3 linked regions of the Macaca mulatta genome follow. The protein of the gene in region 1 interacts with the protein of each later gene in a pairwise test. Links are inferred from orthologs where the notes say so. Each region holds a gene or a part of one and is shown in the gene's direction. Other genes may lie near its edges.

The links.
Region 2: the proteins of APPL1 (region 1) and FSHR interact in a two-hybrid assay, tested with the Homo sapiens proteins (2 studies listed by BioGRID). The link is inferred for Macaca mulatta from reciprocal best matches to the Homo sapiens genes APPL1 and FSHR.
Region 3: the proteins of APPL1 (region 1) and UBE2O interact in binary tests that used the Homo sapiens proteins (3 or more experiments, as listed by UniProt). The two-hybrid records come from large-scale screens. The link is inferred for Macaca mulatta from reciprocal best matches to the Homo sapiens genes APPL1 and UBE2O.

Annotation. Positions count from the first base shown.
Region 1 is NC_133407.1:120,802,247-120,805,899, forward strand, and holds part of APPL1 (DCC-interacting protein 13-alpha), read left to right. Parts: intron 1-2,763; coding exon 2,764-2,910; intron 2,911-3,653. UniProt on the Homo sapiens protein: Multifunctional adapter protein that binds to various membrane receptors, nuclear factors and signaling proteins to regulate many processes, such as cell proliferation, immune response, endosomal trafficking and cell metabolism.
Region 2 is NC_133418.1:75,836,666-75,840,025, forward strand, and holds part of FSHR (follicle-stimulating hormone receptor), read left to right. Parts: intron 1-3,043; coding exon 3,044-3,360. UniProt on the Homo sapiens protein: G protein-coupled receptor for follitropin, the follicle-stimulating hormone. Through cAMP production activates the downstream PI3K-AKT and ERK1/ERK2 signaling pathways.
Region 3 is NC_133421.1:86,153,415-86,157,067, reverse strand, and holds part of UBE2O ((E3-independent) E2 ubiquitin-conjugating enzyme), read left to right. Parts: intron 1-1,730; coding exon 1,731-1,790; intron 1,791-1,977; coding exon 1,978-2,088; intron 2,089-3,653. UniProt on the Homo sapiens protein: E2/E3 hybrid ubiquitin-protein ligase that displays both E2 and E3 ligase activities and mediates monoubiquitination of target proteins. Negatively regulates TRAF6-mediated NF-kappa-B activation independently of its E2 activity.

The DNA of each region.
Region 1 (3,653 bases):
TGACAAAGGAAATGTTTCTCACACAAAGTTTAGTATGAAGATTGATTTCCTTTTCGTTTTCTAATTTTCGCTGCAGACTACTACTTAATGGTGTATTGATAAAATGTATACATTTTGAGATCTCTAATAGTCACTTGGCCTTAGAGAAGTAGTCAAAGGCTCTAGGTATAAAATTTGATATATTTTACATTACTTCTGGCTGTTCAAAGTATTTTAAAAAACACTTTTTCACCAACTTCATTTTATTTAAAAATTCATTGAGTACCTAATATATGTCAAACAGTCTGTTGGGTACCTTGGGGGAACAATGGGAATAGGCTTCACTCCTGCCCTCAAAGACTGGATACTCCACATTTATTGAAGGCTACCTGTGTGAAGGCATGCAAGTCGACTAGGAACCAGAGTACAAGGATGACAAGAAGGCATGGATTAACTCTGTTATTAGTTAAATACAATAATAGGGGTTTTAATAAAATGCGGAGAGAGCACAGAGAGGGGAGCAGTTAGCTTTGATTGGTGAATTGGGAAAGGTTACACTTTTTTTTTTGAGACAGGGCCTCATTCTGACTCCCAGGCAGGAGTGCAGTGGCGCTGTCTCGGCTCACTGCAACCTCCACCTCCTGGGTTCAGGTGATTCTCCTGCCTCAGCCTCCCCAGTAACTGGGATTATAGGTGTGAGCCACCTTGCTCAGCTAATTTTTGTATTTTTAGTAGAGGTGGGTGTTCATCGTGTTGGCCAGGCTGGTCTCAAACTCCTGACCTCAGGTGATCCGCCCGCCTCAGCCTCCCAAAGTGCTGGGATTACAGGTGTGAGCCACTGCACCCGGCCAGCAAAGGTTACACTTTTAAAAGGTGACATTTACATTGAAGATAAGTGGATAACACTAGTTTGGAATTGGAGATTGCTTTCCTGAAAGAAAAACAGCCTTTCAGAGGCACATGGTGGAGTTGGGAGAGTGTAAAGGTTAGGAGTACTCTGTGACAGTAAAGGAAATGTTTGGAGATATGGCAGAAAGAGTAAGAAGTATATTGGTACCAGATTACTATATTAATGACCTTGAAATTTGTGTTAGAGGGAGTGGACAACCGCCAAAGGATTCTAAGTAGGTGAATAACATCATGCAGTTGTGTTATAGAACAAACATACTAATGAAAATGTGAAGAGGACAAGACTAGAGGGAATCCAATGAAAGGAATTGGAATAGTTTGCAAAGATATAATGAAGGCCTCAGCTAAGGTTGTTACTGAAAGTGGAGAGGAAGGAGTACTTTTGAGAGATATTTCTTTTTTTTTTTTTTTTTTTTTTTTTTGAGACGGAGTCTCGCTCTGTCGCCCAGGCTGGAGTGCAGTGGCCGGATCTCAGCTCACTGCAAGCTCCGCCTCCCGGGTTTACGCCATTCTCCTGCCTCAGCCTCCCGAGTAGCTGGGACTACAGGCGCCCGCCACCTCGCCCGGCTAGTTTTTTTTGTATTTTTTAGTAGAGACGGGGTTTCACTGTGTTAGCCAGGATGGTCTCGATCTCCTGACCTCGTGATCCACCCGTCTCGGCCTCCCAAAGTGCTGGGATTACAGGCTTGAGCCACCGCGCCCAGCCGAGAGATATTTCTTAAGTATGAATTGACAAGTCTTGTGGTAATAGGAGGAATAAAAAATGAGTCCTAGATTTCTTGGATGTCTGGATGGATCCTGTAGTAATTAAGAGAGCTAAGAAACAAAGTAGAAGAACAGGTTTTGTGTACAAAACTATTTTCAGTTTTGTACATTTGTAGCACATAAACACACATAAAGAACCCAGCTGGAGATGCGTTTCCTCTGTCACTTGGGAGAGTGAGAGGGAAGAGATAAAATTTGTGAGTCATTGATATATTGGAATATTAGAATATTCTTGGTACTTGAGGATTCTAAGGAAAGGAGGAAGACAGAAGAACATAATGCCTATTACATAATAGGTATTCAATAAATATATGTTGTCTGAATAAAAGAACTCTAGGGAGCACACATATTTCAAGTATGGGTGAGGGAAGACAAGCAAGTACAAGAGAGGAAGACTGATAGGGAGAGAACCAGGAGGGGAGACTGGTATGCTGTGAACTGATCAAAGTCAAAGACTAATGGCTAAACTAATAACAAACAATTGTCTGCCCTTCCTCCATGTGGTAAGCTTTCTCTGCCATGCTTAGTTTAGTTACTGTACCATTCTTAGTTATGTACAGAATTCTGTTTTCAATATGCCTTTTTTTTTTTTTTTTTTGAGACAGTCTCTGTCGCCCAGGTTGGAGTACAGTTGTGTGATCTTGGCTCACTGCAACCTCCACCTCCCAGGGTGAAGCTATTCTCATGCCTCAGCCTCCCTAGTAGCTGGAATTACAGGCATGTACCACCGCACCCAGCTAATTTTTTTCCATTTTTAGTAGAGACAGGGTTTTACCATGTTGACCAGGCTGCTCTTAAACTCCTGGCCTCAAGTGATCTTCCTGCCTCGGCCTCCCAAAGTGCTGGGATTACAGGCATGAGCCACCACGCCTGGCCTCAATGTGCATTTTGTAAATTATGTGGTTGGAAGGAAGTTAAACAGGAAAATTCGCTTAACCAGTATGTTGAAGGATTTCTAAAAGATCAGAAACAGGAACATCAATGCTCAATTGCTTGTGATACACCTTTTCCTCGGTGGGCTCTTCTCCACAGCTCCTACTGAAGATAATACAAAATTAAGTAAATAATAGTAGATTATTTACTTAATTATTTAAATCTTTTCATTCAAAGGTGAAGTATGAAGTAACAGAAGATGTGTACACGTCCAGAAAGAAACAACACCAGACCATGATGCATTATTTTTGTGCATTAAATACTCTTCAGTACAAGAAGAAAATAGCATTGTTAGAACCTCTACTTGGGTACATGCAAGCTCAGGTAAATACTGTACTGTATTTTGGATTATAACTGTCCTAAAAGCTTTATATTAAGCTTGATATTTACATTAAGTATAAAGATTTATAAACTATTTTCAACATCCTTGTTCATGTCTGTGGAAGTAATTTTAAAAAATGTCATCAGACTGTTATTTTAAGGAAGTTAGGAAGAATGGTTTTCCTTGCAAATGAAGATTTCAAATATTTTAGGGTAAATGAAACCACTTGTTCACCGTAGCTGGGGACTGAGAACAGAAAGCTAAATGAATTTCAGAGTTACACCTATTGCTGGAGCTTCAACTAAACACTTGCTTCATAATAGATCTGAAAGAGAATGAACAGGTTTGAGTTTATCCCATATTCCTTGCATACTTCCTGAGTTAAAAATAATAGATGAACTCCAGCGTGCCCCAAGGTACATCAGGAAGGGGGCTAGAAATTTGTTTTGGGTAGTATAAGACAAAGTGTCAGTCTCCTAAAAATTAAGAGTTTAAAGAAAATTGAGGCCAGGTGCGGTGCCTCATGCCTATAATCAAGCACTTTGGTAGGGCCGAGGTAGGAGAATCACTTGAGTCCAGGAGTTTAAGACTAGCCTTAGCAATGTAGGGAGACCCCATCTCTACAAAAATTGAAAAAATTAGTTGGGCTTGGTAGCATGTCTCCGTGGTCCCAGCAACTTGGGAGGCTGAGATGGAAGGATCCCTCGAGCCTAGGAGGCTGAGGCTGCAATGAGGTGTTACTGTG
Region 2 (3,360 bases), on another chromosome or scaffold:
TGCTATTTGGCCCAGTTCCAACACACCCCAATAATTTGTTATCTCATCGTATTACTCAGACTCCTCTAGACATAGCCTCAAGGCTCTCCCAATTGGCATCTCCACATCTGCCTTATATTGTCCCAGGACATGAGGTCTTCTCTGATCCCTCCAGACCACTCTGCTCTCATCCCTCTAGGTTGCTGCTGTAACTCACCATCCAGGCCTGTTGGGGTACAGCAAGGAGGGGAATGTGGTTCTTCCACAACGTGCCAAAATGGAGTAACAAAAATTGTGATAGATGGTTTTCGTTTTTTATTTTTAGCAATGGGTATTTGATTTTTGTATTCATCAAATTCACACACACAAACACCACAAAATAATTATGTTATTCAGAAGATAATTTCAGATTTATTCCTTTGATAGTATCATTTCATTGTATATCACAGTAGGTGTGGTTTAGTAGTGGGATTCAAGTTTTAACTTGTATGATGAAATTATTCTGATCCTCATTTGGAAATAATGCCCAGAGTATAAACATGAGGCCCCTGTGACTAAAACTTTGGCCAGTGGTCCTCCTGGACTCTTCCTGGGCTCTTCCCAAAAGTTCCTATCAACTACACTCTTCATTTGTCATTGAACCAGATATTTCCTTGTCATAATTCTGTATTCAGTTTGCATTACTTTACTCTCATTTTATTCTTCAATTTTTATTGTATTTAACAATACAAGTTGTTTCTTCACAACACAATGCTGTGAAGGCCATTTCTTCACGATTCAATATTAAATTGACATGCTGTGGCATATGCTTCTAAGTACCCACACATGGCCTATACCTCCACAAGAATTCCATAAATAACCACCATTTGTCTTCATACTGCTGACATTTGCTGAGTATTCACTGCCAAGCACTGTAATACTTTGTATCTTTATCTCATTTAATTTCCACAAAGGTAACATGATTATTATTCGTTTCTCACAGAGACAGAAACTGAGGCTCAGAGATACTAAATAACCTGACCTACACTGACCAAACAAATCCAGATCTGCTCTGCCTGCCTCCAAAGCTCAGGCTCTGGGACACTGCTACACCACCCGCAAGCATCTGTTCACTGACTGATCAGAGTCCAAGAGTGCCACTTTTTAAACTGGCCCTAAACTGAATTTCCAAATCCTTATGATAGTTAGGATTTTCCAAAGTACTGTGGAGGCAAGGTTTGATGTCCCTCGGTTTCCACTTTTGTTTCTGTTCTTATCTCAGAGACATAAGTTATTTACTTTTTTCCTTACTTCATGTCAGTGGGTCACTTCTGTTTCAGAAAAGGGAAGCACAATATTTAAAATATGTGGACAGCAGCAACAACAATAAGAATCTTCACAGACGCCAACCATAAGTCCCAGGAAGTGAAGCCTGTTTCTAGAGAGTTAAGTAAGATCTCAATCCAATGAACCACACTGCAGTCAGCAAGTACCAGGTTACTTACTTTCTCTTCCTGGAATCAGGCTGCAGCTAGTTCATAACAGGGTTTAAGAGTTGGGAATTAGACTAAGGACCACAAGATAACCCTCTTATGCCCTCTACGCCCATTATGGAGCTTGCCTCACCTTCCTTGGAAGACCACTGACTAAATCAAAACATTTTCTGGGCTCTGTTTCCATTGACTTTCAATTCTGTATATGTTCATCATTGAGCCTTAAACAAACAAAAAGAATCCCTTAGGCCAAGGGAAAATGACTTCCTGGCAATTCAATTCACTTCCCAGGGGTGAGAGAAGAGAGGATGGGCAGAGATGGGGAAAAGTTCAGTCCATGTATAATAGGTTGGAACACCTGGTGAGACTCATCCTTTAGCATCAAATGGAGTCTTTACCTCCTCCACTCCCCTAGCCACTTCTTTCCTCCTTATGAGGGTTTTAATATTCACTTCCCCGCTTATATCTGAGGTTATGTCAAGGTTTAATAAAAATACAGTCAACTTAATATAGATGTGAACTTGCCCCTTGGGGAAGGAGGGAAAGGTATGCCTGTGTATGTGTGATTTTTTTTTTCATCCAAAAATGTCCCAATGTAAGGGTTATTCCCATTCCATAAGCCTTTACTTCCAAACTGAATACCTTCCATGTCTCTACATCCAGAGTATTGATAGACTACTCTGGGGTAGAATATTTATAGGTATACTCATGGATTGAATATTTATCACCTGGATTTCATTCAAATCCCTCTGTAAGTACCTCTATGCTGTTCACAAGGCCCCTTGTACATTTGTGTTTAAAGGGAAAACCAAGACAGCAAAGTGAGCCCAAGGAGACCTAGGCTGCCCCGAGGATGAGTTACATTCTTAGAATAAATTAGGTCCTTTTGCAACTTGCACTTGCTCTTTGGGGCACTCACTAGGAAACTAATATGAGACAGCCAGGCTTACCTTGCAGACAAACACATGTCTGAGGTCTATTGTAGCCCCCAGAAAGTGAGATAATAAAGAACAGGAAAGACCCTGGTAGCATTGCAGGCAAATTAGCTGGCCTCCTAATAGCCTGAGAACCAAAGAGCCAGGGAACAGGGGCTGGCTGGGAACTAACTAGATTTTGATCACCTAATTTATGTAGATAAGAGAAGCAAATAAGTTCTCATTTGAGTGAGAGAACAGTCTGGATCTTCCAGTGATTTGAGTGTAGAAGAATAGGAATATCTCCTACTCAGGCATATTAAGAGATAGCTGGATCAAGATGAGAGAAGGAAAAGGGTAGAGTTGATACCAGGTCTGTAAATTATTTTCACTTAACAGCAAGGCTTAGTCTCAGGCGCCTTCCTCCCCACATTCAGGTTGTGGCAAGATGGTTTCCCCAGTGGGCCATCCAACTCTAGTAATATATATACAAGTTGTTATATTCATTTACAGTAAGCAGCATTAACCCTTGAGCTTAGCCTCAAGGGCAGATACGATGTGAGAAGAAACAAAAAATCTCGGGAGGAAACCCATCATTTCTACCCTGCACAAAGACAGTGATGTATTTGCTATTCTGGATCTGAGATGTTGATTCTATTTCTTTTTGTATTTTTCTAGTTCTGAGCTTCATCCAATTTGCAACAAATCTATTTTAAGGCAAGAAGTTGATTATATGACTCAGGCTAGGGGTCGGAGAGCCTCTCTGGCAGAAGACAATGAGCCCGGTTACAGCAGAGGATTTGACATGATGTACAGTGAGTTTGACTATGACTTATGCAATGAAGTGGCTGACGTGACCTGTTCCCCTAAGCCAGATGCATTCAACCCATGTGAAGATATCATGGGGTACAACATCCTCAGAGTCCTGATATGGTTTATCAGCATCCTGGCCATCACTGGGAACATCATAGTGCTGGTGATCCTAACTACCAGCC
Region 3 (3,653 bases), on another chromosome or scaffold:
CATGCCCCTGCAGCCTCCTGGGGTCTTGAAGCAGAGATAAGGAGAGCCTGACCTTTCAGGGGTCTTCACCCCGCAGCTCACAGGGCTGGTGATCACAGCTGCCGGCCTTGCTGAGCACCTACTCTGTACCGTGCACCTTGTGCCACCTGTGGTCCGCTGCCTTGGTGACTCCGCCTCAGCCATGCTGAGACGGCTGCCGTCATCCCTCCTTCCACGTGTCGGCAGGAGTGGTTTGCCTGACTTTCCTGTGTCTGACTCGAGAACGCTGCATTTACTGGGCTCGTTGTCATTTGAAACTTGGGATCATACCTGGATGCAGTGGCTCATGCCTGTAATCCCAGCACTTTGGGAGGCTGAGGCAGGCGGATCACAAGGTCAGGAGTTCGAGACCAGCCTGGCCAACATGGGGAAGCCCCATCTCTACTAAAAATACAAAAATTAGCCGGGTGTGGTGGCACGTGCCTGCAGTCTCACCTACTTGGGAGGCTGAGGCAGGAGAATTGCTTGAACCTGGGAGGCGAAGGTTACTGTGAGCCCGAGACTGTGCCATTGCACTCCAGTCTGGGCAATACAGCAAGACTCCATCTCAATAAAAAAACAAACAAACAAAACTTGGGCTCATGAGTTCCTGTGGGACTCTCTGCACTGCTGGTTGGTGCTGGGCTCCATTGCTTTTCTTTCCTTTTTTTGTGAGTCATGTTCTTCTACTAACAGAGTTTGTTTTAGTTGTCGTTGCCAGCAATTAAGTGACCCTGAGCCAGTGTCTTCCTTTTTCAGTGACTTGGTTCTCCTTTCTTGGTGGTGAACTCTCGGTGCCCCCAGGTCAAGGAGGAGTGTCTGGTTGGCTATTTGAGGAAACCGCTCTCCAGCCATGTGGTTTGGGGTCTTGGAGGTGGACACACACACAGACCCGTCCCTGATTATGACTCAGTGAAGAACCATTGAGGAGCTGCCCCAGGTTGGAGGAACCAGCTAAAAAAGAAGGCAGGCTGGCCTGGTGGGAGGCCAGGCTGAGGCCTCCTGCCTGGGCTGTTGGGAGATGGAGCAGCAGGAGGCAGCGGCCGCTGCCAGTTGTGCGTAAAGGGACAATCAGGTGCTCGTGCAGTTGGCCGGGCTCCAAGAGCCAACCATCCTGAGGGTTACTTAGCAGCCTGCAGGGCTCCAAGCACAGCAGATAAGGCGCAGGCCGCAGCTGGTCAGGAGGATAACCCAGATTAGAACGTGGTGTCCGGTGATAGCCAGGCTTCAGGGTGACCCACCGCAGCCCGGTGTCCTGCTCCTCCCCCAGCCCACTCTCCCTCAGCACTGATCAGCTAGGGCAGGCACTTGCAGAGGGCAGAAAAAAGATTTAACGCAAAGCAAATGTTTTGCTCTCTGTAGAATGGGCTGTTAAATCCTTCATTAAAGTGCGACCTTATGTGATCTGTCATTGAGCCCCACTGTTCAGCGTGAGGAAGGATACCCCCGGCGAGCCGAGTGTTTGCCTTTGGTGGGCGAGACAGTGACCAGAGGGGCCCCAGGAGGCCTGTGGGCATGACGCACTCCGCCTTGGGTCGCGGTGCTGGTCGGAGGTGTGTGCGGTCTGTGAAAATGCTGCTAGCCAAACGCTTAGGATTTGTGCACTTAACAGTGTGGATGTGACACTTCAGAAGAAGTTGGAAGAAAACCGTATTCTGTGGTGGCTTTAGAGCCCATTCTCTCACATCTCTCACATTTCCATTCTTTTACAGCTGAAACTAGAGGACCGTTCTGTGGTGCCCCGAGATGTGGTCCGGCACATGCGATCCACCGTGAGTCCTGCGTCCCGGGCCTGGGGTGCAGCCCCCTTAGGGACTTGAGCCTGCCCACCTTGTGCTCTGTATGTGGGAGAGCTGGCCAGCTCTGCAGGGGGCGTGCTGGGGTTGCCTGGGCTGGGTCTCCCATGGTGACCAGGGCTGCTGCACCGTAGGACTTGCATATGCCTCCTCCCTCCCCCAGGACAGTCAGTGTGGCACGGTGATCGACGTCAACATCGACTGCGCCGTCAAGCTCATCGGCACCAACTGCATCATCTATCCTGTAAACAGCAAGGACCTACAGCACATCTGGGTGAGCCAGCCCTGTCTTCTCATCATGCTTTCTGGGCCCTCTGGTTCTCTCGGCGGCACGACCTGTGCGCTACAGCCTCCTCCCTGCTCTTGCCAAGCACAGCCTTCCTGGGTCAGAAGGCGGAGCACAGCAGCCAGCTGGCTCCTATAGCCTTGTTTTCCCTGCTTTCAAGTAAGCCATTTAGATGTGAGGTCAGGACGTGCCCTTCCCCAACCCCAGCATAGGCTACCAGTGTGGTTATCTTTAAGTGTTTTCCTTTCTCCTCTAATATTTCTTTTTAAAAAATTAATTATTTCCAATAATTTATTTTTTTAATGATTTTAAACTTACCAAAAGTTGTAAATTCCTTTGTCCCTCTCATCTGGGTTCCTCAGCTGTTAAGATTTCACTCCATTTGCTCCATCACCTTCCCTCCCTCCTTCTCCCCGAGATCCCCCTCCAGTCTTTTTTATTCCCAAAACATTTGAGAGCAAGCTATAGATATGATGCCCTGTCACCCACCCCCAAATACACACACCTCTTGTGTGTTTTCCAAAAATACGGACAGCCTCCTGCGTAACCACCATATGACCCCCAGATTGAGAAGTGGACGTTGATAATTACTGCCCAGTCCACAGACCACATGCAGTTGTCCCAACACTACTCTTTTCTTTGCGGATGCAGGACCCAATTCAGGAACACATCTTGCATTGAGTTGTCATCTCTTCGTTTTCTCTCCAATCTGGAATCGTTTCCCAGCCTTTCTTTGTCTTCCATGCCCTGAACAGTGATGCATTCAGTAACTTGACCCTCAGCCTGGGTCTGTCTGGTGTTGCCTCATGCCCACGTGTTCTTTGCAGACCCGCCGCAGAGCTCTGCCCTGGTCCATGGTACCCCATAGCCAAAGTGCTGGGGTTGTTCACTTTGACTCCTGGTCATGTTGTTGTCCACCAGATCTCTCCACCGTAAACTCACCATTTACCCCCTTTAAGTGATTGTATTTTGTGGGAACATAGTCCCAGATTATGTCTATACCCTGTCATTTGTCAAACTGAAATCCACCAGCTTTGGCGTCCATTCACAGTCCTGCCTGCACCAGCCATTGCTCTGATGTTGCTAAATGGTGGTTTTATGACTCCCTTGTTCCCCCTCATTTCTTTTAGCTGGCATTCTGCTCTGTAGAAGAGCTTTATCTTCTGCCCCATTTATGTATTCTTTTTTTTTTTATCAGTATGAACTTAGAGATTTCTGTTTTATTCATTGGTTATAATTAATTACTACTATTATCTGTTCTGTTGTTTAGATGGTCCCAGATTTAGCCAGTGGGAGCCACTTCAAGCTAGCTTTCATGTCCTTCTCACATGGCCCTTTCTGTTGGTTTTTTAAGCACTTTCTTTCTTTCTGGCATGAGGTGTGCCAGGCTCATCTTGTACTCTTTGTGGTCCAGCCCCAGAATCAACCATTTCTCCAAGAAGCCTCATTGCTTTCAGAGAATGGTATTTTTTTTTTTTTTTTTTTTTTTTTTTTTTGAGACGGAGTCTCGCTCTGTCGCCCAGGCTGGAGTACAGTGGCCGGATCTCAGCTCA